Bombyx mori: one gene and its partners. The protein of the gene in region 4 purifies or fractionates together with the protein of the main gene of each other region. This does not show direct contact. Links are inferred from orthologs where the notes say so. Each region holds a gene or a part of one and is shown on either strand. Other genes may lie near its edges. The genes, in order: DDB1- and CUL4-associated factor 7, telomerase Cajal body protein 1 homolog, viral IAP-associated factor homolog and T-complex protein 1 subunit eta.

Region 1 (8,334 bases), on a different chromosome or scaffold from region 4:
AAAAGTTGGTGTTTTCGGCTGCACAGTCTAGTTTGAAGAGTTCTAAGAACTTGACGACAAGAACATTGTTTTTTTTATTGCTTAGGTGCGTGGACGAGCTCACACCCCACCCGGTTGTTAAGTGGTTACTGGAGTCCATAGACATCTACAACGTAATACGCCACCCACCTTGAGATACGAGTTCTAAGGTCTCAGTATTACATTATCTTACAACAGCTGCCCCACCCTTCAAACCGAAACGTATTACTGCTTCACGGCAGAAATAGGCATGGCGGTGGTATTTACCCGTGCGGACTCACAAGAGGTCCTACCACCAGTCATTACGCAAATTATCTTTTGCGTATAATGCGCTGAGGAACACAGTCCCAGAGGAGGAGATATCGGATGGGCTTGTTTAGCAACCTTGATGCTCCTACTTTACTACCTGGCCTACGAACCTGTGCGGCGCCCAGGCGATGCCGTTGACGCACGCCCTGTGGTTGTTGAGCCTGGCCACCGGGGTGCAGGGCACGCGCACGTCCAGTATGATCACCTCGCACGCGTCCATGGCGATGGTGGCCAGGTAGTTCGGGTCCTGCTTGTTCCAGGCCAGGCGGAGCAGCGGGGTGTGCTGAGGGTCCTGCGTGTTACATTACAGTCTGCCATAAGACTTGTTATGTTGACAGCAGCTTCTCAACATAAACACGATCAGACCAGTTCGTGGCGCTCACAGGCAAACTGCACGGGTCCTCACAGACGACTGTTTTGCAGCCCGATACTGCAGATCTGTGATATCGATCTTACTACCTACAGTGAAAATTCCGCAATTTTGCCGATTCTACTTTGCTGTTTACGGCCCTCGTAGTGCTAAAGGGGTAACCGGAATCCATAGATGTGTACAAAGTTAATACCACCACCCACCTTGAGACATGAGTTCTAAGGCCTCACTTTTCACAGTACAACAAGAATAGGTAGGGTGGTGGTACCTATCCGTGCACATTCACAAGACGTCTTACTACCACAGTACATGGTCAACTAACTCGGACTTAACGCGGCATTCCTTCATTGTGTTAGTCATTCGTGCCGCAGGCCTCTTGAATCTTTATCTTTGTCGTATCACTCTTGTTAGAGCGATCGTGGTCGTTATTCAGCATTATTGCTGTGGGCAGATGTTATGCGCCTCACGAGGAATCGCCACTCTTCCCGGTTTGTGGTGAGCCTGGTACACTCAGGCAAACAGCCGCCAATAGCTGACTTGACCTGGTCAGTTTATCGCATGTGCAACTTTCCACGCGGTCTGGTGTCTTCTACTTTGCCCTGAACGATAAGGCGCTTTATGGAGTCATTTACTCGCCGGGAGACATGTCCAAATAATGATAGTATGCGCCCATGCACGAGCGCCGAAAGACGCTGCTTACTGCCTCCTGTACTTACCTCATAAATGATGGTGGAATGTTCTAGATGCCTGAGGTCGAACATCCGGACGGATCCGTCGGCGCCCACGGAAGCGAACATATCTCGCCCCCCGCCGGCCCTACTGAACGCTATGTCGTACACTTCCTGCGCACAAACACCGGCATTAGGGCTGCCGTACGCGAGAAGTTGCATGTGGCGGGTAGCCATCACACGACACAAGATATTTGACTGATGCCCGAATCTCGCTTACGACATTTTCAAGCTTGCTATAGCTTAATAAGCTTGCCTATATGCAGGTTCCGAACGACCACATTCGGACCGTCGAACCTTTTTTTCGTATACCCCCACATGTATATAAAGTTTTGTTCAGCCACCTTTCTCTAAGGCGAGTTAGACAAGGACAAATTATTGTTCAAGTAACCATCACTTTACAGTGTCTAGCAAGATGTACACGCAGAGTGCATCTTGTATTATGTCAAGGTGTATAAAACCAGATAGGGGCGTATACGTTCGGCTTTGTTTATTATTATTTATTTAATGCTTAGATGGGTGGACCAGCTCACGGCCCACCTGGTGTTAAGAGGTTACCGGAGTTCATAGACATCTACAACGTAAATAACGCCACCCACCTAGAGATATGAGTTCTAAGGTCTCAGTATAGTTACAACGGCTGTCCCACCCTTCAAACCGAAACGCATTATTGCTTCACGGCAGAAATAGACAGGGTGGTGGTACCTACCCGTGCGGACTCACAAGAGGTCCTACCACCAGTTTTGTGTATGCTAATAGATTTTTAATGGAATCTCCAATAGAATAAAATTCTATTAGTATCTGTTGTGAGCATCCTTGAATATACTTCACACTACATGCTTATGATTACATTAAAACTTAAAATGTTATGTGATCATTATGAAATCGGGCACGTATGTAACATGCCCATTTCAATCCTGCAATTCTTTAGTTTGATAAATATGTATCATGTCAAAATTGTAATAAGTGATTTAAACATATTTGAATACATTGATTTGAAAAAATTTTTTTTTCAACATATTCTTGTAACCTCGAGGGGTTATACTAGATTCGCAGAACGAAAATTTTTTGAAGACACCAATAATCTTCAGATAATCATTAACATAAATTTTGGACACAAATGAATTAACAAGATCTTCTATTAAATAAAAATCACAAACCTTATCATGAGCGATCAACTGAGTCTTCACGTGCCCAGACACTTCATTGACCCTGCCCAAGACCTGTCCAGTCTCCAAGCCCCAGATGGTGCAGGTCGTGTCAATACTACTGGTGCCAATGAGGTTAGGATCCACTTCGTTCCAATCAAAGGATGTAAGAGGAGCACAGAAGTCAGAATTCTTATTATTATTTAGGACACATTCGAATAATGTGTACGGCTCTCCGGCACGCCATATGCGTAGATAATCACCTGCAACATAAGGCACCATTGTGAAATTTTATTGAATAGTTTTACTTGAATTTGATTATTTATCAAAACTGTTTATGTCAACGAAAGTTGCCTCTATTAACATCACAATCATTCATATTGTACTCATAGGGTATCACTTATTTTTATTTATGTAGATTGATTATTATTGTTTGCATGAGTGTACCAGGCTCACCACAAACCGGGAGGAGTAGCGATTGCTTGTGAGGCGCATAACATCTGCCCTCAGCAATGATGCTGAATGACGACCACAACCGCTCTGACAAGAGTGATATGACGACAAAGGAGATAGACAGGCTCAGTTAAGTACAATTCAGTGGTTTATGGAGCTCAAAGACTATCATGAATACTGTTTCTCTAGAGAGAGATGATATTGTAAGCATTATTTTTGGGAGTATATGTTTTTGTCTATGTAGCAGTGTAAAAGTAAATTCAAGCCTCATTATCTCCATATTAAATATGGTAATCTTAGTGCTAACAAACTGCTACCGAAGTCTTACCGCTAGTTGCCAACAAGTCTGGATACACCCCCTTGCTATCAGGTATCCACATAATCTTGGTGGTCGGGTACGGGTGATCAAAGGTACTTTTTGCAGTGAACTCACTTGTGTCTTCATCAAGGGAAATTATTTGTACCTAGGATTTAAGAGTTTTATTAAGCTTATGTCATGCACAAGGAATGCTACAATACAGTATGTGTGTTAAATGAAACCATTAATATATTAGTTTTCACTAAAAATCCTTCAATGTAGTGAAAACTAATAAATTCATTTATATTAGGTAATATAAAACAATTTTTGGCAGACCCCTTTTTAAAATGAACTGATACCTCAAAACCCCATACCCAAATTATTTAAAAAACCCTATCCCTAGTTCTTTTCCTATTCATACAACATACTCACCAATTAAAACCTTTGCGGTCAAGTTATTGTGTGTCTAAGTGGGTTATATATCTTGGGAACTCCTGGTTTACTTACTATATGTTTGTATATTATGCTAAACAATTAACTAATTAGTAGTATGTAGTTGAGTTTTTACTAATTTAATGGTGGAATTAAGTAAGTAATATTATGCACCAATAATTACTTAGAATTTTTTTTTTCTTGCTGTATTTGTCTACTTGGTCTATAAGAACAGCCTCCACAAACTAAGTGCTCCTACCAATTCTGTCAACTACTGAAAAATGAACAACAACAAAAATATGTAATTTATTGTGTATTTTCTTTGGTAATATTATGCATTTATAGATTATAAGGCACACACCTCTATCTTTTATAATTCAATGAGTGGGAAATTTTTGACAAATTGACTTCCCTAAAATTGCATTAGCTTTGCATGATTCATTATCTGGGCCTTTATACTGTATTTACTTAATCCTGTTGGTATGTTTTGTAAATTACTAAATTAATATAATAACTGCTCTGTAAAAGCTTACTTTATTGTTGTATTCCTCAACAAAACTGCCCAGGGCTAACCTGAATCTCTTGTCAGGTCTGACAGACCAATTCATTGAGTATAATGGCCATGGCGCTTGGTATCTGTAAAAGATGTGTGACATAGAAATGCAGCTGTCTAGCTTATAGTGTTTTTTTTTTATCACAACTTCGTTTATGAGAATTTAACCTAACTGTATGAACAACTCAAATTTCGTACGTAATTATCAAGATAAGGCTGTTTTTGCAATTTGTTAACATCACTTTAGTTCTTTTCGGGAATTGTGAAAGGATTATCTGTATATTTCAAAACATCTAAAGCATTAAATTAGTAAGTCCCATAATGCCTGCTTGATTGTATTACAAATGTTTCGAAACATAGGAATGGGTACAGAAATAAATAACACGCTATACCTAATTATAATTAGCAATCTCAAAATTGGGTCAACTCTGTATTTTATACTGTCAATTATTTCCAATCTGTTATTTATAGTTCATATTGTGTTGTAACGTTACTTACTTGTATATTTCTTTACGTTTCGTGCCTGAACTGGTACTCGAACTGCTGTGTGGCATCGACATCACTGATAATGTTTAATGTTTCTGAAAACACAAATCAAAATGATATTTATATGAAATTTTAATGAATAGTGACTTTTTTATTTTTTTTGTCTTTCAAGTACGTAAGTTTTCATACCTTTCAAGTTATATTTTTTAGATTTTTACATATGGTTTTAAATTTACAAAAAATATATATTTTATGTACCTTTGCCGTAATATCACAGAATGGCCACCAAGCGGCTTTGTTATGTTTGATTTAAATATACCTATTTAAATATTGAACTGTCCATGAGCTTCTGTACCTTCAATTAATGTATTTTATAATTGGAAATTAACTAAAAACTTAGTTTTGTGTGGAGAAAACAAGCATGAAGCATTATTTTTACAAAATTTGACAACTGGCAAGTAGGACAATCTGACATTTTAATTTTTTTTCGTTTCGTTTTTTGACTAGGCAACGGGAATTTAGCATCTGCGAGTAAACCTCATCACTACATAGTATAAAACAAAGTCGCTTTCTCTGTCCCTATATCCCTATGTATACTTAAATCTTTAAAACTACGCAACGGATTTTGATGCGCTTTTTTTAATAGATAGAGATTGAAGAGGAAGGTTTATATGTATAATAACATCCATTAAATAGTGGAGAAATCAATAATCAATTACAGTTTCTGAAGCAAGGGCGGGTCCCTACTTTAGTATATGTCGAATCTCTGTTAGTTGTTAAAAAAGTGTAATGAAAATTATTTTATGAATGAAAATGAAATAATTTAAAAATAAATTAAATTGGCTGCAATAAGACGAAATTGGATTTGAAGACATATGCCTGGTAAAAATTCAATAATGAGTAAGCTACCTATTCGAAACTGAATGAGTAGTAAAACCAGGCTATGTATAGAAAGTTAAATAAACGACAATATCCACAGATGTCCACTGTTGAACAAAGGCCCCCCCAAAGCCTCGACACAACGACCGGTCCTACACTGTCTGCATTCGGCGGATTCCCGCTATATTTAACAGGTAGCTGGTCTGCCTTGTGGGAGCTCCACCCAAGCTACATCTTTACACAGTCGCCACTCGAAAGCGTTTCAGCCATAGTGGCCATCTGTTCTACGAGCAATGCTCTGCCCACTTCAATCTCACAATTCCTTCGGCTATGTCAGTTATTACGGTTTTCCTGCGAATTTCCATATTCCTGATCTGATATCGTAGGTAAAAAGGTTCTAAATTTCTTACGTTTTCTATTATTGTGTATAATATTTTTTTATTGCCTAGATACCTGGGCAGTCTCAGTTTCTTAATTAAAAATTAAGGACAGACTTATTAGTTTGTATAACTTTTTAACTCATAACTATGTTAAAGATTATTATAGATACTTAAAGTGCCCGAATTTAATTAATAGCAATAAAGTACACTGGCAATGTAAAACTTTTTATTAGGCGCTTTGTTCGAATGCCATGACGTTTCGAAGAGCGTCTGTCTGCTCGCCTGAGTTGTGTGTTCCCCATTTCGTGGTAACTAGAAACCAGATGCAATAGAAAACGGAACGTGATTACATGATAACAATCTTCAAAAATGAAAACGAAGGCCCCAATTAATTTTTTATAGCCTAAATCTGTAATAAACTAAAACTAAATTTTAAAATAAAGAAACAAAACAGTTAAAATATAACATATTATGACTGCTTTGTCCCATAATGATCCACGTGAGTTAATTACACCTTCCATCGATGCTGATCAAATTTCAGGAATTGTTAAAGTAACGGATAGTTCTGTATCCGTTATCCGTATTCTACGGGTTTAGAATGTCGGCCACTTAGGTATACAAAGTTAAGTCTATTGTATCATTAATATCATTCCAAGTTCGGAAATCAGCAAATGCTATCCGAACCAAATCCATAATGGATGCTATATTATTATTATTATTATTTATTACGCTGGTAAACTATTATGTAACTGGTCCCTAATGCAGTGGCCAGTGTGGTAACAAAGAAAGCGTGACTCGTCCTTAACCGAAGTAATGGCGTTCATGCGCTGAATTCGTAAGGTCGGGTTAGCGTAATGGAATGCGCTCTGTTATACGGGACTTTGAAAAACTCTTTTTAAAAAAGATTTTATTCACTTTGAAGATACAAAATTCTACTTAGAAAGAGTGTGGCTCATAGTAACGACGCAGAGTGACTGACATCGAGCCAACGGGGCTCTAGTATATGTTAGGCCGGAAAGTGCTGCTAGAGGCACTTTTCGGTCTTAGGTAAATTAATTAATATACTAGTTAATATTATAACAGCTCCCCCTTTAAGCGAAAACTTACGGCTTTCCGAAGTTTTCGATGATTATTTTAATATAAAGTTTAATGGATTCTTATTCGCGGTTGGGTATTTAGTTGAATATTTTCTTGTGGGGGTGTGTTTATTTGCGTCGTGTTTTCGTTTGGTTTAGATTTACGCACAAAAGCCACGCACTTTCTATGACAAAAATAATAACATATAAAAATAACAAATAGTATTACAAATAAGTATGTGACAATGGAATGGGGAGTGCTTATCGAAATAGATTCGTTCTGAGATTTTAAATGTTTTAAGGTTTGTAGCATGTTATCAGCTTTGTTGATTATTTGGTCTAAATTATTCGATTCTAAGTTATGCAGTCCTGTAATAGATTCGGTATAATTATAATTTTCAAACACTGCTGGGTTACAACATGTATCGTTTACTAAATTGAATTCTGAGTGTATGTGACTGAATTTATATTCAGGATAACTTTTACTTATTAATTTTATGTTTTTGCAGAATCCAGTGCAGTTTGGTTTCAGGGATAATATGCCTGTTCCTGAAACTATATATTCGGTAGTTTCGTCTGTGCACTCAATGTTGAGTTTAGTGGGTTCAGATAGTGTGAAGACCCATCTATTATTATTTAAGGATTGCCATATGTTGGCATGGCCGTATAAAAATTTAGTTTTACACTGTTTCGGAAGTGATTTCAAGACTTTTGTCATTATTTCTGTTTCACAGATGGGGTAGTCTTGTATATCTATTTCATCTAATTGTTTACAAATATGAGTTTCCTTATTAATAGATTTACATTTAGAAAGATTATCGAGTTTAAGATACTTCGATTTTCTCTGATTTAAGGCCACATAAGAACATGTAGGTAGTATTAGTGCAAAAGATTTGGATGTTACATTATGGGGTACTGGTATAGGTACTGTCTTATACAAAGTATAAGTATCAATGAGTACTAGAGGAATTTTAAGACTAAATATAAGCTTATTTTCTAAAATACATGTAATAATTTCCGAGAGATTTATAAGTACATATATGTTTTCTAATTCTAAACTTACAGCTAATTCCGAATATCTAGGTAGATATTTAACATTGTTAACAAGGTCATAATACAAATCTTTGGGTGTTATGACTGATGGATGTAGCGTATTGGTTTTTGAAAACAAAATTGAGTTTATGATGTCTTCTAGTTTATAGGA
Region 2 (8,126 bases), on a different chromosome or scaffold from region 4:
CTCCCTAACTTTGGTATAATCTCAACAAACAAACAAAAATCGTAGTCACCCAGGATGCCGTGATCTGAAGTTTACATGATTTTTTGTAAACCATCAACTTCTTCTTCTTCTTTTTCTCCACCTTATCCCACTAGGTGGGGTCGGCACAGCGAATTTTTCTATTCCATTCTCTTCTCTCAGCCGTCATCTTGACACTCCCTCCTCTCTGTCTCTCATATCGTCATTCACATACTCCATCCATGTCTTCTTCGGTCGACCTCTTCCCCCTCTACCTTGCATTGCTATTTCCATACATCTCCTAGTCACATGCATCATCTCTCTACTAGCTTCTATTTTTCTAGGCCATCAACGGCCTCCGGATATCGTCCTCTCCTGTATTATACATGTAAAAAATATATGTGCAAAAAATGCCTAATAAATTTTACAAAGATAGATTCCGATCGGGAATCAAACCTGAATTCTGTAGTACAGTCGCCAGGGTCACTAATCACTAAGCCTACCGGGCCATCAAATTTCATCAAGCATGTCGACGAGGATCTTGTAATCGTCGACACTTTCATGTAATATTTAATATCACGTGAAAAATACATATTTAATACTATCCTATATAATATCATTATTACATATATATAGACGAAGACCTGAAAAAGAGGTTGCAAATAGATAAGCTTTCAAACAAACAAAACGTTTAAATATTTGAGTAATATATCGTATTAGTTACGTTTCGATTGAACCCAACAATCCGAAACTGATTGAACGCGTATAAGGCAATCGTCATAAAACATTTTAATAAAGATTTACGGACGCCAAAGGTCTCGGCGTGGCAATAAAACTGAGCCGCTTTACAAGGATCTGAGGACTACAGTCAGCAAATCGATCGAGTTATCATATTCCATGGATGACGTCGACAAAACTTTACAAAGAGAACTGATATTTTATTTATGTCTAAGTACGTATTATGAAATAAAATCCTTTACAAAGAGAACTGATAATATGTTATTTATGTCTACGTATTATTAAATAAAATCATAAAGATAATTTTTATTTTTAGTCTATGCACCTTTTTTTGGACAACTTAGTCGTTTCCCCAATGAGTGAACGAATTGGCCTTAGATAATTTTGATAAGCATATACTATCTTTGAAGTGTTTTGTTACGATCAGTTGGCAAATAAAAAGAATAAACTTTTAAAGATCACATTAAGTCGCGGCTATGTGCCAGCAAAAAACAATTACTTTTAAATTCATTACACGTTTTTTGTCGTCACTCCCCTCTTTCTTCCTTAACATTAGTGATAACAGTACTTATATGTATAGAAAAGTACAATAGATTAAAATTGGCACTCAATTTTCACGAACATTCCGTTCCTAAGCCCTTTTTTTTAGAAAAATGGGATAATAATTCTAAGTCAGTCGAACATTTATCAATACAAAATTCTATTTTTGAAGGAATGTTTAAGTATTTTTGCCCGAAAACGGAATACCGTGGGCTTAAATTAAATTTATGCAATTCGCAATTGTGACTCAAAAGTCAAAATTTAAAATTCAGTCCGATCATTTCACTCTCAACACATTTTTCCATCTATCAATGGAAGCGAATCATTCCCGAAATCAATTTCGTCTCCCGATTTTCGCTAATGATTTGCATAGCACCTTTGTTGCAGCTTCGAGGGTAGTTACATTTTACACCGCGTATAACTTACCAAACATTTTTATCAAAATCTGCTCGAATATTTATCATTACAAGATCTAAAAGTTATTAAATTTTACCCTTTAATCCAAAACGTGTTTTGCGGTTGAGATAGGCCAATAGATTGCCAATTTTTCGCACATTTCTAAGCGGACTTTATGCAAGGGCTAGTCTCAATTTATAAGTATTTACATACATATATCATAACTAAACAAAATTTTGGTAGTTGTGATTTAAAAAATAAACGTTTGCGCAAATTTTCATAATCGTCTTTGCTTTCGACAATGACATGTTATCGATCTACTTGTTACTGCCGGAAACCGAATTAGCCTTGGGAAAAGTCCACTATTCGATTGTTTGATACTGTTAAGTAACGAACTAACGTGTTTATCAACATAAAATTATTGTATGTAGGTCATAAACGGAATGTTTTATTTTATTTTTATTGCTCAAATGGGTGGACGAGCTCACAGCACACCTTGTGTTAAGTGGTTACTGGATCCCATAGACATCTACAACGTAAATGCGCCACCCACCTTGAGATATAAGTTCTAAGGTCTCAGTATAGTTACGGCTGCCCCACCCTTCAAACCGAAACTGATTACCGCTTCACGGCAGAAATAGGCAGGGTGGTGGTACCTACCCGTGCGGACTCACAAGAGGTCCTATCACCAGTAAAATGTTAAATGATAATAAGTAGACCGGGAACCCCAAACTTCGTTATTTTCAACTTTATAGTTGAAAACCTTTCACTTTAACTATACTTGTAAATAGGGGGTATTTAAATAGGGTAGACAATATAAAAAATATTCTTCATATCTACATATCAGACTACTCGATAAATACTATTGAACCAAAAAAAATCACAAAGATTTTTGACACTTTCAGTTTGATTGCCAGCCAACATAAGAAAAGAGAAGGCTTGAAGGTCAGAGTCAACATAAGTCATGTAAATTTTTTTAAAGTGGAAACTCATCTATCACATTCATTTTTTCACACAACATCAACTACAAATGTATAAATTGAAATACATAAAGATTCATCTGCTTAAACACAACGACGTAGGTTTTTATTTAATTCTATAACATCCCCAGTCCACCAGAACGTCAAACAATTTTCACTGTGACTAGAGTATCGTATATCATACTGGTTAATAGAATCATCAGAACTAGAATCTACGGCTTCATTATTCGTTTTCTCACTCAAAGATTTTATCGGGTCTGTGAAATGATATTGACCAGATCCGGTAGCCAATATGGGTCTATATGGATGAATTGATATGCTATTGCAGCAATCTTTGTATAAAGGAAACTGAAAATGAAAAAGTCAAGTCAAAAATAGAGTTTAAGCCGTCAAATTAATTACCATGTAAGCAATATATTCATTAAATAGTAAAATAGAATCTCATCCAGTAGCTGTACAATTGTGATGTCATGCAGGCTTCAAAATTAAACTATTTATTCAATTACTCTTTTTCAATAAAAGCTTTTAAAATAAAGCACACAAGCTATTAATATAATTAAAAATAATACCTTATAAGTAACATCATCAGTTGTATTATTAACTGGATCTAAACTAGAATGCCAATCTATATGATCAAGTGACCAAACTTTTACCACTCCATCTGTACCACCCGATACCAAATATTTTCCACAAGGTGATATATCAAAATAAATTCGTTGGTTCGTATTTACAACTCTACTCAGAATGTTTAGTGGTTTCCTATAATACCGTATGTCCCAAACAAACAGTCTGTGATCTTTTCTTGCACCAGAAACAAGCTTCAAAGTACCAGGAATGAATTTCATGTGCGTTACTCCACCTGAAGCAATAGAAAAAATCAAAACATTTCGCAAAGCCAAATGAATATTCATGAATATGCTAAATGATTATGAATGCACTTAAAGGATTTAAGGTTTCTGATAAAAATATATACTTGTTGTGCTATATATTATTATATAACTTAGTCTGGCCATAAATACTGTTACATAAAAACTTTTCTTTTTTTTCAACTTTTTAATTATTTTGTATTTGGAACATGTATATTATTTTAAAAACTTCTTTCGATTTTGCGCCATTTCAGATATTTTTTCGTGTTCATTATCAAATGACAAAGGAATGTGGTGTTAAGGAAAATAGGATTGCAGTGATCGCCTTGCGCAAAGTGGGTATTGAGCCGTCGGTCATATTCCAGACACTTCAAATGCTAGGTATCAGCCATTATGTTGGTACATCGAACTATCAACAGATAAAACAACACTTCGTCTGTCGAAGACCAGAAAAGATCGGTGCAGCCGCGTCCTGTTACAACTACAAAGGCTTAATGCTGTTAAAGCCAGAATCCGTCGAATTAGGCAGCAAAATATCTTATAGCGAGAAATGAAGATTCCCGATAGGACTCTGTCGCGTATTATAAAACAAGACCTGAAGCTCGCAGGATATACCCTAAATCAATCTTTATAATTAAAGTGATTGGATAAATGAAAATGCCTTTTGATGCGATATGCAGGTGAAAGGCACAGAAATATTCTCTTTACTGATGAAAAAAATTTCACTATTGAAGAACACTGCAATAAACAAAATGATAAAGTGTACACTCACAGTTCTAAAGAAGCTGCTGAAATGGTAGGAAAGGTACAAAGTGGTCATCATCCTGCATCAGTGATGGTTTGGTGGGGCGTGTCTTATCAAGGAATCACAAGCTATATTTTTGTGAAAAAGAAAGTGAAAACTTCAGTCAATGTGTATCATTGTCCATGTATCCATGTCTTGGATTATGCTGTAAAACCTCTCAGCAATACACTTTTTAAAAATATACTGTGGACTGGCCCGCATGTCTCTGCACCTGGTCACAAGGCAGGAACTACCCAAGCCTGGCTTGAAACCAATGTTCCAGACTTTGTAAGAGCTGAAGTCCAGCCTCACCGAGCCCAGACCTCAACCATTAGACTTGAAATTATGGTCAGTTTTAGAGAACATGGCCTGCTCTAAGCGATACAGCGACATTGAGTCTTAAAAAACCTTTGGAGCAAGCAGTGAAATTTCCCTTGGAAACAGTGCGCAAATTCATAGTTTCATGGCCAAACAGATTAAAGGCCTGTATAAAAGCCAAAGGTGGCCATTTCAAGTAGAATATTTTTCTTTATTTTTTGCTGACTTCATTTCTTTTTACTTCATTAAAAAAAAAACATTTTCATTTGAAACAGAACTTATGGCTGGATTAGGTATATATAGGTATTGGGTATATATATAACAATATGTAACAAACGTTACACCAATTATTCAGTGCTATTTACCTCCATGTCCATACATGTCCCCAATTTTCTTAGTACCAATTTCTGATTCATTATACAAAGTTATTGTTGTATTCCAAGAACCAACAGCAACTAAGTTATTTTGTGTTGAAATGCTAGATGCTGAACTAGAAATCTTTTGCTCAGTAAATTCTCTGCCAGGCCTAAAAAATTTACTGATTAATATACAAGCAAATAAAATAGACCTAGAACTCAGGCAGGATTGCAACAATTATGTTGTTGAAGTCTATGAGCTCTAGTAATCACTTAAAACCTAGTTGTATACCAATCAAAGAAATAAAAAAATTGTCTATCTTGAGCACATTACTAACTTAATGAGTATATTAAAAGATTTTACTTCCATACAACAAATTCTCTTTATATTAGTATAGATACGATAAAAGCTTCCTGCCTTGATATAAAGTAGTTATTAGCAAGTCTAAGCTTTGCTTAAATACCCACACTGAGCATGAAATTAAAGTTTTAAGATAAATTTGATAATGAAGAATTACCGCTCAACATCAAAAATTCTTAAATGCTTCTTATAGCCAGCAATGATTTTTCTACCATCTGAGGTAAAGCTAACTGATAAAGCTGGTTCCATTTCATCTACTGCATTGAATCCTCTGTATGAACATCTGAGTGATCCATCAAATGCATCCCACATTTGTATGGGAGAATTTTGTTTTGTTGTTAACCAGCTGTCAATAAAATTATTGAGTTACATGAAAGTTAGGCATTTCTTAAGAAATCTATTTCAGCTCCTTATTTTAAAGGAAGAGAAATTATGTTTACTGACAAACTAAAATTGATATTTTATCATAATCTCAGCCTGTCCACTGCTGAACATAGGCCTCTCCTACTGATGTCCACTATGTCATCAGCCCATCTGGTACACGGCACACTGCACTTGACAGTACGTGGTCTCCATTTAAGGATTTTTCTGCCCCATCGGCTGTCAATCTTCGTACTATATGGCATTCCCACTGCCGCTTCAGCTTGCTAATCCTAGGGCTATGTAACAAGTTTGGCTCTTCTATGGATCTCCTCATTTCTGATTCGATCTCATAAAGAAATACCAAACATAGCCCTCTCTATAGGTTGCTGTGTGACACTAAGCTTCTTAAAAAGTTCCCTTGTGAAACACCATATCTCAGAACCGTACGTCATCACTGGTAAAACACATTGGTTGTACACCTTTGTCATAAGGCACTGAGCATTTTTTTAATTTTTAGATTGGTTGATATTTAAGTAACGATATTTTATATTTACATCAATTCCATTGTAGACCAAATATTGAGTTTTAAATCTCACTCACCAACAGGAAGGGGGATTTGTGCTGTTCATGAATGGGTACCAACAGAAGTCGTAAACTGAACCTGTTTCTTTTAAATGTATCACTGATTCTAAGACATCGATTATACGATCGCCACAAACAACGCCCTGGTACAATTCACTAGGAAGCTCGGTAACATGAACACCATCGTTATTGACAACACTTAAGCAACAGGTTCCATCTGGGGACCACTTACATCCACGTAAATAAGGCTGTATATTCTCATTAGCATTACGACCCCTTGACCACGAGCAAGTGGACAATTCAAGAAAGCTTTTGCTTGTAAATAATGCTGGATATTGAAAAGCGTTTTCTGTACACGCCGAACCCAATGTAAGTTCACTCGGATTTTGAGTTATGGTTTGAGGTATATTTTCAGCGTTTATTCTTGATGGTGTCTCCATTGACCAATTTTCCATAATAAAGGTAGATCACAACACAATTTGTGATTATGTATAACAAATTGACAATTATTCCGCTCACGGTTTCAAAATAAAAACAAAATCGTCGTTCGTCAATCGACCTTACCGCCTTACTTTTTTTTAAGGGATTTTATGACCTGGTAACTAAGATCTTTAGGTCATGTCTTATATTAATTTATAATATTCTTATTTTTATGAAAAATGATAATTATATGGAGTGAAATGAAATGAAATGAGATGATATGGGATGAAATATAATCTCGAGATCGGGAATGATCAATCACAAGAACGGTCGTACATACATAACAACATAATTTTTTTTTGGGGCCGGGGGCTGAACCTCCCATGAGGTTCCCCCGCCTAGGGGGCACGCAGGGTATATGAGACTTGACGATCTGCAGATGTTGGAAGCAGACCGTAGGTCCAAAATTATTTAAGGACCCTACCGCACTAAACGACTCCCCTGCCCCTTATACGGTTGCTCTTCCACAGTATGTTCGACGACGACAGCGACGACGGCAATGCGGACCGCATCGCGGACCGCTTCCGAAGATGCGTCGTCACATGCCAGCACGCTACAGTGACAATAGCGTGTGGCGCAACCTCGACTACCTCAGGTCGCCCCGTGAACATCACCGGGAGGAGACTGCTTCTTCACAGGGGTTGGAGCTGGACGAACACCCTCCTCCAATTCCCGGCTCGGTGGCGGTGGCCCGGCGCCGAGAGGAAAGAAGAGCTCTCTCTCCCCGTTCCGCCGCCTCCTTCTGCATGATGGTGGACTCACAGAAGTCGAGCATCGCCTGCCAGGGCTCGTCGCTGCCGCACATAGTCCGGACCTATTTTTGCAACGAGGGTGCGGCGCTGCTTCGCGAAAGCGGGGCAGTATGCGAACGTGTGCTCCGCCGTGACACCACAACTATACATTAACCCACAGACACAACCCTTGAGTTTCTCACCGGATCTTATCAGTAGGTCGCGATTCTGATCCGGCAATAAATTCAATAAAGCACTACTCTTGCTACAGTAGATGTTAGCAAAGTCTCTCAGGCAGGTTAGCACGGAGATTTTATTATATGTTTTATGTATTTAAATTCAGATCTCACACAACTAAAGGCGCTGTGGCGTGGCTTGTTTTATTTTAAAATATCATCAAAATTCACTCAATGGTTGTACACGTCACGCTTCAATTAATTCAAAATAAATTAACTGAAATGCAGTCAAAAAAGTTACTTTGGAAAGTATATTATCTCGCAATTTTTATTATCTTCGTTCAAGGACGGTAGGTATAACCTTTATTCATTATTGATCAAATTAGTACATTGATGAAAGTGAAATATATTTTTATAAAGTATTTTCAGTGATTACTCGTACAGTAAACATATGAAAA
Region 3 (8,169 bases), on a different chromosome or scaffold from region 4:
GTTCATAAATGCTCACATATAGACAGACATTAAAGGCACAAGGTGAAATTCATGGTTTAAAATTGTAATAAAGTAAGTCAGTTAAAATAACCGTAAATTCATAGTATTCAGGGATCCAGTCAAACCCTTGTAAGCTCGGTCCTGCACAATCCGGCACATGAAGTTCCCTCTCACACGTAAAACAACATACAACTCAATTACAGCAACATTTAATCTTCCATTTTCCCCATAGGAACTTCATTAAGACAGTTAGGGAACATTTAAAGCCATAAATAGCTAAGATAGATCTAGCCAATGGACGGCATTTTTACATAGATTATATGTACTGTAAATTCGTCGAAAAGTAATTTAAGAATAAAATACAGCTATAATCTATTGCGTTGCGTAGTAAGTATTGTGTGTGCGTATGTCATTGAAAAAAAAACCAATGAACAGCAAACATATTTAATTGTAAATAATCAAATACAGATGTAGATTCTTATCATATTTACACTAAGTCTTCGTTTTATTTTAGTAATTATATATTGGTATATGTGTATTTAAATTAAATGACATGTAATTGACATTAAAGTGTTGCATGGAACAAAAAAAATTTTAACATTTTTTTTCATTTCTTCATAATTTCTTAAAACAAAGGTTTTAATCAATTATGCTACAACAGGTAACCGAGCCGCTCTTGTGTTAGTGCTATTCCTCGTTACACTTATCAGTTTAGATCTATACATACTACGATCTGACATTGATTGTACATAAATACACAATGATTAACCACATATTATAATGTCGTATAGGGTAATTGTCAACGTAAAGCATGAGGCGCTGGTAGAATACTCATACTATGAATTGATGTGCACAAATTGGATCAAAGTCTTAGTTATCAGGGAAGAGTACTTAAACATATAGAATAGCATTTACTCCACGAAAGCTAGAAATACAATGAAGCATTAAAACCCCAAAAAAGTCCCATAACTGGGTATACAAACTGTATGCGCTTGATGAAGTACTAATCAGACTATTTTGTTATTAGCATCCGGTTACGAATTGTATTTATGGACAATGAGTAAATAAACAAATAAATTAACATTGTGCATTAAAAACAAGAAATTAGTAATACTACATCCCAGAAGGCAAAAATTTTCAATATAACTTTTATAAATACAATAAGGCAAAAATATATTCATATTTTCATAAATAATTTCATTCTATTAAGACAGACATGATTCCCGCCTTCGTTATAAAGTTTTGGATAGGCCCTAGTGTATGTTTGAACGAAAAAAATTACAAATTCATTTCTTTTAGTCTCATCTACAATACATTTGTATAAAAATATATTTGTTACTATATTATTGAACTAAAACCTGTAGCCCTGTGTGAGTGACCAACTGCGCTGCGACGCGAGGCTTATTTGTCCTCATTTATAAGAGGTCAGTGAGCAAATTTTTTTTTTTCAAAGGATTAAATAAACAAATGCCCTTTGACCTGACCGTTTAAATCAAAATATATGACTTGAATTTCATACAGTCACATACTTTCGCAAGTTTTGTTGTAACAATTAAATCTAGTTATATCAATTGTTTGCGACTAAAGAAGTTTTAATTTTTATTTGAATCAATTACCACAAAAAGACTGCCATCAGACATGGGTTAACCGGTCTCTGTATATACGCCATTACTATAGATTTTTTTTTACAACGGGGTCCTATATAACAACACAAGTTCACTTGATAATGATGCTCATTTAGCACAAACCTTAATATATTAATTTAATACAGTTCACATAAGAAGCTTTTGATAAGTAAAGCGACAGAATACAGTTTAAAAAAAAAACATACTGTTAGATGTAACATAAAATATAAATTAACTTTAACATAAATTAATATTCTAAAATCACCAGTCATTACTTCCAAGGTCAGTAAACAACTTGTCTTTGATCTTTGGTCGGGGATCTTCTGTTATGCTCGTTTCGACAGCTCCAACCTTACCGAGTATGTATTCGAGTTCTGGAAATTCAAATACATTTATTTTATTACTTTCCACTAGCTCATCTCAATTTGACTATAATCACTAATATCTCACGGTTCAGACTCATTTTATTCATTATATTTTCATTTTTGTCTATTTTTCAATGTCAATATAATTTAATTCATACATAACTCTATAACAACCACTACAAAAGTGAATTGATTCACAAAGTTCACATAGAACTATTGGCCATGCTATATAAGGTATCAAGCTATCAATTACCATCATTTAAAAATTGATTTATTCACAGCTACTTCAACTACAATACACTGTATTGAAGTTCACTCTTGGTGGCAAAACGGATGCTTCTCAATGGAGACTCACATGTTATACTGCTACTGACTAAATTACTACTACTGTATTAAATTTGCTATTGGTGAGAAGCAAGCCTTGTGGTGCTATTGTTATATGATAACAATCACTAATAGTAATCCTTACTAAAAATGTAACCAATTATAATTAAATTAAAAAAAAACTATAAAAATCAATTCTCATAGCTTACCATCACAAGTCAAACTGGTGCCCCTTAGTTCGTGGGACCCCACAAACTGCTGCTTCATTTCGCCCTCAAAGTAAACAAATAAACTAGGCAGATTCCTCTCTGGGAAGTTTGGGATGCAAGTCTGAGCAATGGCTTTCAAGAATTTTGTGTAGGGAAACTTGACTGCTAATTCTCGTAGATGTTGATTTATTAGTGCACATTGTTGTATTCTGAAATTTTTTGATTTATATGATTGATAATAATCATTGGAGCAGTCTGCAGATAAAGGGTCATAATGGCCCAATGACATAAAAAGTCAGTGCTAGGTTATCTAGAGGAAAAAAACTACATACATTGATATTGGTTTATCTAATGTCTTTATATCTTATTCATCGTTCCACTCACCCCTGTTTGTACAAATGAATGACCACCCAAATGTCTTGACCAGCCTTGTTAACCTCCTGCACATAATCTTGACCAGAGACTTCTCGCACTTCTCCGAATCTAGGCTTCTCAGACAGCTTCTTAATTTCTGCTAATCGTTTCCTGCGGTACTCTTCTATAACAGCCTCATCTTCTGAATCTTCAAGTTCGTCCAATCCATCAAGGTCTAACTCAGATAATTGTTTTTGTTCTGTGAATAAGTAAAAATTGTTATTATTGGAGACCATCACAGTCAGTCCAGTTAATTATGTAGTTTATAGTGTTCAAAACACTTGCCAAGGGTGGCTTGAACTCTCGTCCTCAGCATACAACTATCTACGATGGTGTTTTGGCTGATGTTAAAAAAAGTGTCCCTATCAACTGAACTGGCGTTCTACCAATGAAATGAACTCATTAACTATCCTATCAATTCTCTGCACCCAATAGGTGATGATTACTACATTTTTGAGGGAGTCACTTCTTAAATTCGTAGGGTTAATTGTTCAGTATGTCAGAATGGAAAACAAAACACAAAGTTAATTGTAAATTCATAGCTGAACATTTATAATTATAATAATACAGAGTGTGACTAACATTTTGTCAGATCTTTAAGAAAAATATTTCTTTAAACATTAGTAGTGTCTTAACATGTCTTGTTATTCCTGAATATTTTCAATTTAGTTTATATATAAATTCAAGCAAATGTATTTTGATGTAACAAATAATCACCAAAAAATTCATAATTGGTGAATATTCATTATCTATGCCAGTACAAAAATGAATGCGTCCCACTTAACTGTACTTACTAGAGCTAATTTAGGTGATGAGTCTCGCTTGGCTGAACATTTCATAAGGTGTTGGATGCAAAGAATTTTTTTAACAAAATGATTGAATTGCAGAAAGAAAACTATTAATTTGGTGACTGTTTAATTCCAGGATTCATTTAGTGTACTGGTGATGCATATCAATTATAAACTAGACTAGTCTAAAGGAATGTATAATGAATAATGAAATTATAGGTACTTAAACCAAAAAGTTTCGAAGTTCATTACGTTCAGTGTTTCCGGGTAATGATTCACTGTTGATTACTGATGAGCCAATACATATTGCATTTACATCGTAGAGCTTAACCTCAAAAATTCGTATTTGTTGACCTACTTTCAGCTTCCTTTTGCTGTATTGTGTCCTCTATCATGTTCACAATATCGGCCTCCGAAAACTCCGCTTCTTTCTGCGGTATAATACCCATCTTTCGAAGGGTATCGTTCCATTCTGTATCTTCATTGGGGTTCTAAAAATAAACAACAAAATAAAATTAAACTTTTCACTTTAATGTACTGCACATCATTTTACTGATAAGTTCCATTTATTATACCTGCATTTTATTAAATTAACAATTAAAATTCTAATAGTTGAAATACATAAACTTGCTCCAGCTTTTCAGGAAATTTGACACCAGATATTTTTTCCATAGACTTAACATTGAGACAGGCAAAGGAAACTTTGTCATGAAATATGTAGAACAATAGGTACCATGACATGGGGTAAATTGGGATCCTGGGGTAAATTGGGACAAACCTGCGGAAGATTCTCAAAGTACCTGTAGCACGGAATTTACCTAATTTTGTTTAAGTTAATATTTATCAATGTATAGAAGAAAAACCAAGTTAACTATGGAAGTACTAAATATGAGTTAAGTTGGTCCCAAAAATTCGTCAAATTAAATTGAAAATAGTGGTTGAAAAGTGAGTTTTAAAACAGCTTAAAGAACTTTTAAAAAAAGTAATATTATCGTTGTTTTTTCAATAAGATCACAGTTTATATAAGTTTTTAATACACCTGGAAATACCACAACAAACGGTAAGTTGCAATATTCTTATTTTAAATACAATATTTCGACAAAATAAAAAATGTATATTTTTTCCTTTCTTTTTGGGGAAAATTGGGACGTATGTAGGGTAATTGGGAACGAGACTGGAAAAATTAGGGACGAGAAAACACAAAATTGGAACGCCAAAAGACAAAATAGGGATGGCTTGTTAGGGTTGTCACTGATATCTTATAATAGATTTTTTAGCCTATACTATCACTTAATTGCGTGATGTAAAGAAGGTTAATGTGTTTATCAGTTAGTTTATGTAAGTATTATAGGTAAAAGAAAAGTATATATATAATTACTTTTTTTCGCGACATTTACCTTGTAATATCTGCCCGGTCGTATGTTCTTTATAGCAATAAAAAAAATTAAAAGTTAAAAGAACTCAAACGAATCAAAACTTTTGTTATTTCAGAATCTATTCACGCATCGAATCATGATTTTGTTAACATTCAAAACGCACACACAAATAAAAACAGGCCTCAGATTTTAAATGTAACATTAATTAAAAATCCGATATATCCAATTATGAGTGAGTGAATTAATTGAGTTTAGTTATTTAGCTTAGAAAGAATTTCTTTTATTTTTGTTATTATTGGCAGTAATCAGATAAAGCTGTTTTTTTATCTTATTCACCTGATATCTTACTCTTGCTCAAAGATTATTTTGAAAATGTTGATTAAATAAAATTGTATTATTGCATTTCCAGTCCTTTTGTTTTCTATTTTTTATTCTATTTTATCAATTTGTTTCAGAGTTGTGATTTTTAAGGAAATTAAATAATAATTTTCTAAAATATAACATGCACATACTTTTTTTGATCATTGTATTGTTGATTATCATTCACGTCACATCGCTTCGGAATAGAAACCAGCTTAATTTACACTATGTTGTGTATTGTGCTTAAATTATGGATTGTATTCATCATTTCGGTCCATATAAATAATTATATGGCACCTACCTATATATCGCAGTACTGCGAGTTGACAACCCTTACAAATATCCCAATTTAACCCTTAACCGTGTCAATTTACCCCGGACGCTGGGTAAATTGGGACGGCCATTATTTTACCGATTATTTCTTTAAAATGAATAATTAAAATTATGTAACGGTTTTTATCACCTAGGTACGTTCAAGACTCAACTTATTTATTTGGTTGAGCAGTGACTATTTTATTGGAACTATTTTAAAATTCAATCTGAAGGTCGATTTTGTCCCTATTTACCCCATTGTACGGTACCTACTGAACCTGTCATTAAAATTTAGAAAGAGTTTTAGAAGCCATTTTCAGTGAATTTCGTTTTTCCACACACACACAAAATAAATGGTTAGCCTACAAATACTCTACGATTTCAAACTGATCAAAAAAAGCCAAACATTGAACACATTTTTAATTACTTGTTACCACTAACGCCAAATGTTCCAATATCATTTGAAAATAATGTGAAAAACTTAGCATGCAAGGGCTAGATCGATGTCATTTAGATATTAAGAGAACTGAAATGTCTATGAGATTCAGTAACCATTTCATCACCTCGTCTGTCCAAGGAATATGATTCTGAAAAAGAACTAATAAAATCACTACCATCACTTTAAATGAAAAAGCTGGCTACGCCCTCTATAAATAAAGCTTTGATTTTAGCAGTTTTATTTGACACTTTTATCGTTTAGCAAGATTAAATAATTTGTACAAATTACATAAATAAATTATTTGACTCCACAAAAGTAATCATATAATACTCTCTCAATTTCTATCTCTATGTATAATTACTTCCTAAAGATGATTGATTTAAAGGTTCAGGCCATAAAATCATAAAGAATATCACAAAAATGACAGTTTCAAATGGAATCACGACTTTAACCCATAGCTTTAACCGGTTTTTTGTATTTACTCCAGAATTGACAAATGACACGTCTATCAATTTACGTAAATGTCAACTTGTCAATATTGTCAACCAACCTGCGTCGTGTTGGAAAAATTTTACGTCGCTATGTTCAGTGAAGTTAGTGTCCGTAATAAATAAATTGAATATGGCTGAAAACGAAGGACATAAACATCGGGAACGCTATGACCATGAGGGAGAAGGTAAATTATGTTACGATTTTTCTGTGTATAGTCCGCGGTTAGTGTGTTCGACGTCCGCGCGAGGCTGAGACGTCTTCAGTACCCTCGTGTTGCATTTGTGACATTGAAATTGGGTTCTTTTTATAATTGCTGCGTGGATCGTGGTCCTGGGCTGCCAGGAACGGAGCGCACGGTCAACCTCGAGCTTTGACTGGTTCATTAGGCATCAAACTTCGTGAGAATGACCGGGGGATCCGAGAAGACGTTCGACTCAGGTATTTGAGTGTTGTTTGTTTGTTAATGTAGTTATTTCGCTACTCCGGACTTAACGTTTAGCCGCGTGATACATGACTGTTGTTATGTACTAGATTTAACCTTTCATAATTACTTGAACTTTGGTCGCTCGTCGAGTATTGCATTAAACACTTTTTTCGGTATTACTCGTCACTATTTAATACGAGTCTCTCGTATCATTACCAGACCAATCATATGCATTATGCTTAACTCCTTAAAAATAACGTGTAAAACATGCATTAGCTGGAATGTCATGCATAAACTGATAATGCATTGTGATAAGATCTTGTTTTGTAAAACAAAGAAATAAAACACCACAAGGTTATTAAGTGGGAAGGAACTTGATTGTTTTATTATTGCAAGCTGAAACATATGTTTACTATTTGATCTTTAGACTGTTTTTTACATACATATTATTGATTGAATAAGTAAATAAAAAACAATAATTAGGCAAACAATACTATAATCTAGTCATCATTCTTTCTTGTATTTTAAAAAACAGGTAGGCTTGAATTCTTAAAACTAACAAAACATTACATTATTACCAATTTATGAACTTTCATCTGAATTATTCCTATTGATTATAAGGAGGAAATGTTTTACAAGAATGCAATCACTCATGCTTGTTAGGTTTATCTAAAATGCTGATATCATAAGTTGTTTTATGTCCCATGTTTTCAGATTTTCCCATACATTTTTACTCTAAAACCTGTTTCAGAAGCGGTAGTGATAATCTGTTGTCTATCATAATTATCAGCTATTGCATTATTATTCACTTATCTTTCATATTTCTTGCCCTATTTTTAATATTTTATAATTCTTACAAATTCATTATTACATTTCTATCTAGTATAATAAAATTGTATCAACTTTATATCTCTGTGCACATTGAAACAAAAATGATGAACTTAATTAGAGATTGAGATCTTGACTGCTTTCTAGACAAGAAATCAATATTCTCAGTAAATAAGGGTCTGTTTAATAAAACAATACAATGCGAATCTGGGT
Region 4 (7,601 bases):
TTTATTGCTTAGATGGGTGGACCAGCTCAAAGCCCACCTGGTGTTAAGTGGTTATTGGAGCCCATAGACATCTACAACGTAAATGCGCCACCCACCTTGAGATATAAGTTCTAAGGTCTCAGTATAGTTACAACGGCTGCCCCGCCCTTCAAACCGAAACGCATTACTGCTTCACGGCAGAAATAGGCGGGGTGGTGGTACCTACCCGCGCGGACTCACAGGAGGTCCTACCACCAGTAAAAATGGTAATTTAATTTAAAATGGTAATGGTAATTTAATTTGTGTCACGTAATTCCGCTCGCACCCTGCCCATTTCTAATGCAAAGCAATAATGTGTTTTGGTTCGAAGAGCAGGGTGAACCTTCGTACTATAAAAACTAGGACTTAGAACTAATTTCTGGGGATTTTTAGATTATTGACATTGTAGGGCACTGGTAAACACTTAACACCAGGTTGTCTACCCATCTTAGAATAAAAATTTCCTGATTTTACCACATATTATATTTTTTGAAAAAAAAAAAAAAAAAAAAATTTTTTTGCTTTATGGGTGGTGGTACCTACCCGTGCAGACTTACAAGAGGTCCTACCACCAGTAAATACGCAATTTTTTTTTTTTACTAATTATATTCATAGCCATGAGTGCAGATTCTTAGTTGTAGGCCCAATAAAGGTAAGGCCTCGGTCAGTACAGCAGCTAGCATAAATAAACAGCACATACCGGTCCGCAAAGTATTGTGTGGCAACATCTCCGATGGGCAGCTTGCTGAGGACCACATTTGCTCCGCTAGCATGCAAAGCGGCGAGCTTCTCGTATAAGATCTGCCACTCAGCATCCACCACCTTCTGATATTCCCTCACGTTGTTTACTCGAACCTTAATGTGGGATTAATACAAATAAATAATTAAGAAGTATCAACAGATATATTACATACACCAAAATAGCATTTTATACAATTTTTGTCTGTTTGTTCCGGCTAATCTCTGGAACGGCTGGATCGATTTTGACGGGACATTCACTGATAGGTAGCTGATGATATAAGGAGTAACTTTGGCTACTTTTTTTAGACAAGTTTCACCCCGCGGCGTCACTCGCGGTACGACAATAACCGCGGGTAAAATCACGGGACTCGGCTATCAATAATAAAATTTAATGTTTCCGAAGCGAAGCGAGGGCGGGTCGCTAGTATACAATAACGAACTTATTTATTTTTATCTGTGTTTGCTGCTTCTGACTCATTACATAATATTACAATGTCGTGGCCTAAGGGATAAATAAGATTCCGTCCGGAGCATTCGTATCTAGCGATGCATCGGTGTTCCAATCCCGCAGGTGGATACAATTTTTCTAATGAAATATGTACTTAACAATGTTCACTATCGACTTCCACTGTTAAGGAATAACATCGGGCAATAAAAATCAAACCCGCAAGATTATAATTTGCATAATTGCGCGCGGGTAGGTACCACCACTTAGCCTATTTTTGCCGTGAGGCAGTAATGCGTTTCGGTTTGAAGGGTGGGGCAGCCGTTGTAACTATACTGAGAACTTAAAACTCACATCTCAAGGTGGGTGACAGCATTTACGTTGTAGATGCTATGGACTCCGGTAACCACTTAACACCAGGTGGGCTCCACATCACTATTAACGTTGGTAACATTTAGATATTGTAAGATCCCCACCTCGGCATTGTCTCTTTCAGCTTTCAATTCCAGCTCAATATTGAGGAGTGCGATCTTGCAGTCTTTGTATGTCTTCGGCTGCATCTCAAAGCCAGCGTAACTGAAAGTTTTCTTGAACGCCACTCCGGGAACCAGGAACGAATCTTCAAGAGCTCCACCGGGAACCTTCTTGATTCCTGCAAGAAGCAACATCTAACGTTTACAAGTCTAATAGTTATAAAAAAAATAATTCTCCCACTGTATTGTTCATTGACCTCTGAAATGTGTAAGTGTTCATTGCTCGTTGCATTATTTTTTACCAGTTACATTATCTGTCTTTTAAAGTAAGATAAAATTATGTGTTCATTTTGTTAATAATAGTCAAAACATAGGAAAGCAAAAAAGAAAAAAAAACCTAAACTGCGCCATTTTGACAGAATTTATGAGAAAAATACTGGTGATACCAATTGTTTACATAAAATATATTAACTCAATTTCGAATATTTTTGGAAATTGTACACTTTTAATGCGAAAAGAGACGTATTTAGATCTAACTTTGAAGATGAATATTGATATCCATTTGTCCGGTAGTGATTAACAAAATTGGCTTCAGAAACAGTATAGTCTCAACCCAACTTCCTAAAAACTCACCAATCATGTCGAGAGGCAGAAGTGGAGTGTCCAAAGACAGGACAGCATCAACAACAATCTTAGAGAAGTGATCCTTCTGTTGATGAATCAGTTTCGATGACATCGCTGTTGATGCACACTTCAATAGGAGATCTCTGTTGATATAAGCATATAATTTACAATTAATAATTTTTGGACTGAGCGAAAGAACAAAACTGACTGATGATTAATGGTTATTACTACCCATAGACATCATATGTGTATGTATGCCTTTGTATCATATAATGGCTGTCCTACACTTCAGATGGGATGAGTGACTGCTTCCCAGCATGACGGATGACCGGGGCACAGACTCATTACACACCGTACTACCAGCCAGTCAAACCTTAATGGTTTGTCATAAAGCCTCATTTCTACTATCACGATCCACACAACCATTTCAGTAATTGGATCCGTATGTTTTAATCATCGGCTGTCAATTATTTATTATATAAAAGGTCATTTATTAATTAAAATCATCAACATTGTATACAAGACAATTCAAATGTCTAAACTCTAATCAGTTAAAGATCTAACCACAAAAGTAATAGAAACCTATTATATTCATTACCTTTGTTCCTCAGGCGACTTATTATCAATTTTCACAGCTTGCTCCTTGATTTTCTCAATGGCCAGTCTTGACGCTGTTCTGACTGCTCTGATCAGAACACGAGGGTGAACACCTTTGGAGGACAAAATTTATATATTTATTTTTATAAATGTACTAGCTGACCTGGCAGACTTCGTAGTGACTCAGTCGATAAATAAAAGACCTAAACTTTTGTATAAAATAAACTTATAACAAACAAAAGGAATCCATCTGACGGGGGACAAATCAAAGGAAAAACACAAAATTGTTATTTTTATTTAATTCAGAGCATTTTCATAGTTATCTACCCTTTAAACCTTCTCTGGACTTCCACAAATAATTCAATAACTAAATTAGCCAAATCGGTTCAGCTGTTCTCGAGTTCTAGCGAGACTAACAAACAGCAATTCATTTTTATATATATATATAGATTTTTATAAATGTACTATTTGTTAGAATACTGCCAACATCCAGGTTCGTTCACCAACTTCATAAAAAAAGAGACAAAAGACTGACCTTCTTCAACAAACGGCTTCAACCTCTTCAGAATTTCACCGGCCAATATCACTACCGAGGTGGTTCCATCGCCAACCTGGATTAATTTTCAAGTGTTAAATATAATAAACCAAATATTGCCGAAACCGTTTTTATGATTTTATTCTCATCCATAAATTAAATTTTCCTCAATTAATTAATTAGGAAATTGGATCCGTTTGTTTAATCATTGAATTTTCTTGAGATGTTCACCGAAATGCATGATAGTACTTACGTAATGTAGGCTTAAGTAACGGTGATCATCTAGACATGATACGATATCATAGAAAATAATCAAGGAGTATATTGTGTCAAATACATATTGTAATGTTTTTTTTTATAGATTGTATTTATGCATAATTAAAAAAAAAAATTAATATTCTGCACTCCTTCTCTGTCCATGCAAAAAAAAGAGGTACAAAGTTTTGGCTTCACGTATTAATGTATAGATATTCTATTTTAGACACCAATACGTCCATAGTTTGCTCTCATTTAACAATTTTATGAATGAAGGTGTCCAAGTTTAGTACATTACCTCGGCATCTTGAGACTTTGCAATATCCACAAGAGTTTTAGCGGCAGGGTGAATGATATCCAGTAGCTGAAAAAATGAATTACATTCTCTTACTTCAATTGTAGTAACATAAGTAAAAATGTAATTGGCATTACACAAATATTCCCTAAATCTCACTTAAAATATGTGATAGGAAGACAATAAAAACCAAAAAAAAGACTAACCATGTTTTTTTTTTGTATTTTTATTTTTGTATACTTTTTGTTTTTTTTTAGCTCTAAATGTTTAAAATTGTAAATTAAACGAATACAATAGCTTTAAAATTTTTTTTTTATTGCTTAGTTGGGGCTCACAGCCCACCCGATTTTAAGTGGTTACTGGAGCCCATAGACCTCTACAACGTAAATGCGCCACCCATCTTGAGATATAAGTTCTAAGGTCTCAAGCATAGTTACAAAGGCTGCCCCACCCTTCAAACCGAAACGCATTACTGCTTCACGGTAGAAATAGGCAGGGTCGTGGTACCTACCCGCGCGGACTAAAAAGAGGTCCTACCACCAATCATTAAGCAAATTATAATTTTGCGGGTTTGATTTTTATTACACGATGTTACTCCTTCACCGTGGAAGTCAATCATGAACATTTGTTAAGTACGCATTTCATTAGAACAATTGGTACCCGCCTGCGGGATTCGAACACCGGTGCATCGCTTCAATACGAATACACCGGGCGTCTTATCCTTTAGGCCACGACGACTTCATAAGTAAGTCCTAAGTACGACTTAGAAGTAAGACAGAGTGTACAATACACCTAAGAGTTCGATCTTTGGCCTGTAGAAGGTGGGTGAACTCACAATCTGCCACATGCTCGTGGCATTTAAAGCTGGAAAAGTGATTTGAGCTCACTGTTATACTTGAGAACCACATCAGAATTATATTTGAAACAGTAATCATTCAAGTAATTTCGCCTTTTCACGTTAAAAGTGTAAAATTTCCAAAAAATATTCGAAATTGAGTTAGTATGCGGAATCATTTGGTACCACCAGTATTTTTCTCATAAATACTGTCAAAAGAGCATAGTTTAGTTTTAGTTTTTTTTTTAGTATACCTATGTTTTGACTACTATTAACAAAATGAATACATAATTTTATCTTACTTTAATAGACAGATAATGTAACTGGTAAAAAATAACAAAAATTAATGTTGCAAAAATTATTAATATTAAAAATATCACATGTTAAACTTTAAGTAAGTTTGGCGATTATACAGTTTCAATGCGAGAAGATGATTTGTTTAGCATAAAGCCTCATTTCTACTATCATGATCCACATGAACATTCAGTAATTGGATCCGTATGTTTTAATCATAGGCTTTGAAAATTACACAGTCAAGCAGTCCTAGTTTCCAACAGCAAAAGCCTCTACCTTCATGATCGTTGCACCATCGTTTGATATAACCGCCTTTCCATTGTGATCTACAATCAGCTTGTCCATACCACGGGGACCCAGGGTGGTTCTGACCTGTAACAAGAAGGGTTACTGAAATACTGATCAAGTCAGTACCTACTATCTTAAACAACAAAACATAGTCCGCAACTTGAGCAATATGGCGGGATGCTAGAGATAGACTGTGTGGTCTCAAAAGTTTCTACTGTACTCCCTTTTTTTTTTTCGGACCATGGCCAAGAACCTCCTACGAGGTATGTGGGACTCTACTGTACTCCATAACTCGTCTATTCATAGTAGTAGTGCAATCCTCTCCTCTAGTACCGTAACAAAACATTACTCGATTATTTTATTGTGATAGTGTAGATATAGTCTTCTTTCTGGTCGTTCCCTCAATGCTCTTCTTCTAGATATAGTCTACATGCTACATTATCCATATATATTTATTGGATGTACCATTTTATCACTAACACTATTTTGAATAAAACAGCAGTTATGTAAAAACATGATGTCCATAGGAGGCATGCAGCTAGATGATAATAAAATTACTGTCTAGTTTATTTGTTTGAGCGAAACCGAACGTATTCAGTACACCTGTACTTAATGTAGACTTGTGTTAGATCAACTCATCCTTGTATGGGCAGACTTAAAAAAACTCTGTCCATAATACATTTGTAAAAGAGTAAGCCTATTTTGATCTCCTTCCTCCTGATATTCCTCGCCCCATTGATCTCAAATCTCTTCTTTCCCTTGTCAACTCCCCTTTCGTTTATATTCTTAGTTCATTCATTAACCATAATAATATTAAGCTGTAGTTTGTCTGTCTGTTATCGAACTAACCCCTGTATATATATTGTGTGCGTCTTATTTGTTTTAGGTACATCAACAGAGATCCTGTCATCAAACATTCTTAGCTAGTCACTTAATTCTTAGTGAATATCTGTGACCTTGCTCGTTCACGAAGCCCGCTATAGAAAGCAGAGTATTAAATACACTTGACATTGGCGAAATCTAAAAGGAAACGCCATAAACCAGAGAGATAGATAGATAGATTGGTAAGCCTATTTATTGCTCATTCCTCTCAGTGATTTGCAGTGATTGAAATTGCATTTTTTTTATCCCTACCTATGCTGATAGCATTGAGAGGCTATTTCAGCTTCTCCTTGACATGTAGGTGAGCTCACGGGGCCTAACCCGGGAGTTTTGCTAACACTGGCCCTAGCAAGAGCAGTGCTTCACAGAATCCACCAACGGATCGGAAACGCGACCCACTGAGAAGATCCGGTGAAAAACTCATTAAGCTGTCTATGGGCAAATTCACTCGTCGAGCCCTTCATCGCAAGCGACGGGTGCGATGAGGATGGTGACCAGTGCTTGTGGTACCTAAAAGTACCGTTAATGGATCGGGCGGATCCGTAATGACGTGTTTAGGGCGACGCCGACTGTTTACCATTCGGTCTACAGGATCGCGTATGTAATGCCTGTATCGCAAATCAGTGGTATGGGCATGATGATTAAAAAGTATTTCTATAGCTGACCATAAGCATTGGGTGTGATCAACCCTCAAACACAGCCCACTGAGTTTCTCGCCGGATCTTGTCAGTGGGTCGCGTTTCCGATCCGGTGGTAGATTCTGCGAAGCACGGCTCTTGCTAGTATCAGCTACGTCATCAGGTTTGAGTACCCCGGCGAGCTCACCTACTAATTAAGGCAACACTGATATAGCCTCTCAAGACTCTCAGCTTAGGTAGGAAAAAAAAGGGTGTAAATGTAAAACCGTTTTCCGGTAGATCCCTCAATACTCACCGCATCGACAACAAGTTGACAGGCATTGATGTTGGAGACGAGCTGGGGCTTGCCCTGCGTCTGGTCCGTTCCCTCTCTCAGTAAAAGTATTTGCGGTTGCTGTGAACATAAATCATCCAAACTTTTAAGACTATAATTTAAGCTAAGCAAAATCTAAACAAAAACACCACGAAAGATTGGAAAAGCACCCAAACAGTAAGGCTGCCGCCTTGAAAAAACGGAGTTACAGTAAACGGCTTAAGAGAAAAGACGTCATATAGTTCAATGACCAATTTTTTTATTTAGAGTAGATGGCTAAATTTAAGCTACAATGATAAAAGTGCTGAAAGTCACAACTTGTTAAAATTTCTTTCTCATTAATGATTACATTAACCCTTTGTACTCAA

The links.
Region 1: the proteins of T-complex protein 1 subunit eta (region 4) and DDB1- and CUL4-associated factor 7 purify together in Homo sapiens (affinity purification with mass spectrometry; 4 studies listed by BioGRID and IntAct, counting the BioPlex papers as one, with this or other methods). This does not show direct contact. The link is inferred for Bombyx mori from reciprocal best matches to the Homo sapiens genes CCT7 and DCAF7.
Region 2: the proteins of T-complex protein 1 subunit eta (region 4) and telomerase Cajal body protein 1 homolog purify together in Homo sapiens (co-immunoprecipitation; 3 studies listed by BioGRID and IntAct, with this or other methods). This does not show direct contact. The link is inferred for Bombyx mori from reciprocal best matches to the Homo sapiens genes CCT7 and WRAP53.
Region 3: the proteins of T-complex protein 1 subunit eta (region 4) and viral IAP-associated factor homolog purify together in Homo sapiens (co-immunoprecipitation; 4 studies listed by BioGRID and IntAct, counting the BioPlex papers as one, with this or other methods). This does not show direct contact. The link is inferred for Bombyx mori from reciprocal best matches to the Homo sapiens genes CCT7 and PDCL3.

The regions. Positions count from the first base shown.
Region 1 is NC_085118.1:1,108,061-1,116,394, forward strand, and holds the start of DDB1- and CUL4-associated factor 7, read right to left. Parts: upstream 5,285-8,334; 5' UTR 5,054-5,284; intron 4,891-5,053; 5' UTR 4,870-4,890; coding exon 4,808-4,869; intron 4,393-4,807; coding exon 4,290-4,392; intron 3,491-4,289; coding exon 3,355-3,490; intron 2,837-3,354; coding exon 2,586-2,836; intron 1,540-2,585; coding exon 1,414-1,539; intron 620-1,413; coding exon 438-619; intron 1-437. UniProt on the Homo sapiens protein: Involved in craniofacial development. Acts upstream of the EDN1 pathway and is required for formation of the upper jaw equivalent, the palatoquadrate. The activity required for EDN1 pathway function differs between the first and second arches.
Region 2 is NC_085124.1:10,450,324-10,458,449, reverse strand, and holds the start of telomerase Cajal body protein 1 homolog, read right to left. Parts: upstream 6,874-8,126; 5' UTR 6,737-6,873; coding exon 6,300-6,736; intron 5,683-6,299; coding exon 5,494-5,682; intron 5,146-5,493; coding exon 4,985-5,145; intron 3,511-4,984; coding exon 3,221-3,510; intron 3,000-3,220; coding exon 2,736-2,999; 3' UTR 1-2,735. UniProt on the Homo sapiens protein: RNA chaperone that plays a key role in telomere maintenance and RNA localization to Cajal bodies. Specifically recognizes and binds the Cajal body box (CAB box) present in both small Cajal body RNAs (scaRNAs) and telomerase RNA template component (TERC).
Region 3 is NC_085131.1:761,342-769,510, reverse strand, and holds viral IAP-associated factor homolog, read right to left. Parts: upstream 4,457-8,169; 5' UTR 4,307-4,456; coding exon 4,301-4,306; intron 4,217-4,300; coding exon 4,084-4,216; intron 3,137-4,083; coding exon 2,908-3,136; intron 2,733-2,907; coding exon 2,524-2,732; intron 2,000-2,523; coding exon 1,887-1,999; 3' UTR 429-1,886; downstream 1-428. Other genes in the region: atlastin, read left to right, coding at 6,834-6,888. UniProt on the Homo sapiens protein: Acts as a chaperone for the angiogenic VEGF receptor KDR/VEGFR2, increasing its abundance by inhibiting its ubiquitination and degradation.
Region 4 is NC_085130.1:19,009,176-19,016,776, forward strand, and holds part of T-complex protein 1 subunit eta, read right to left. Parts: intron 7,315-7,601; coding exon 7,216-7,314; intron 5,485-7,215; coding exon 5,389-5,484; intron 4,053-5,388; coding exon 3,987-4,052; intron 3,510-3,986; coding exon 3,434-3,509; intron 3,012-3,433; coding exon 2,900-3,011; intron 2,445-2,899; coding exon 2,311-2,444; intron 1,857-2,310; coding exon 1,681-1,856; intron 874-1,680; coding exon 719-873; intron 1-718. UniProt on the Homo sapiens protein: Component of the chaperonin-containing T-complex (TRiC), a molecular chaperone complex that assists the folding of actin, tubulin and other proteins upon ATP hydrolysis.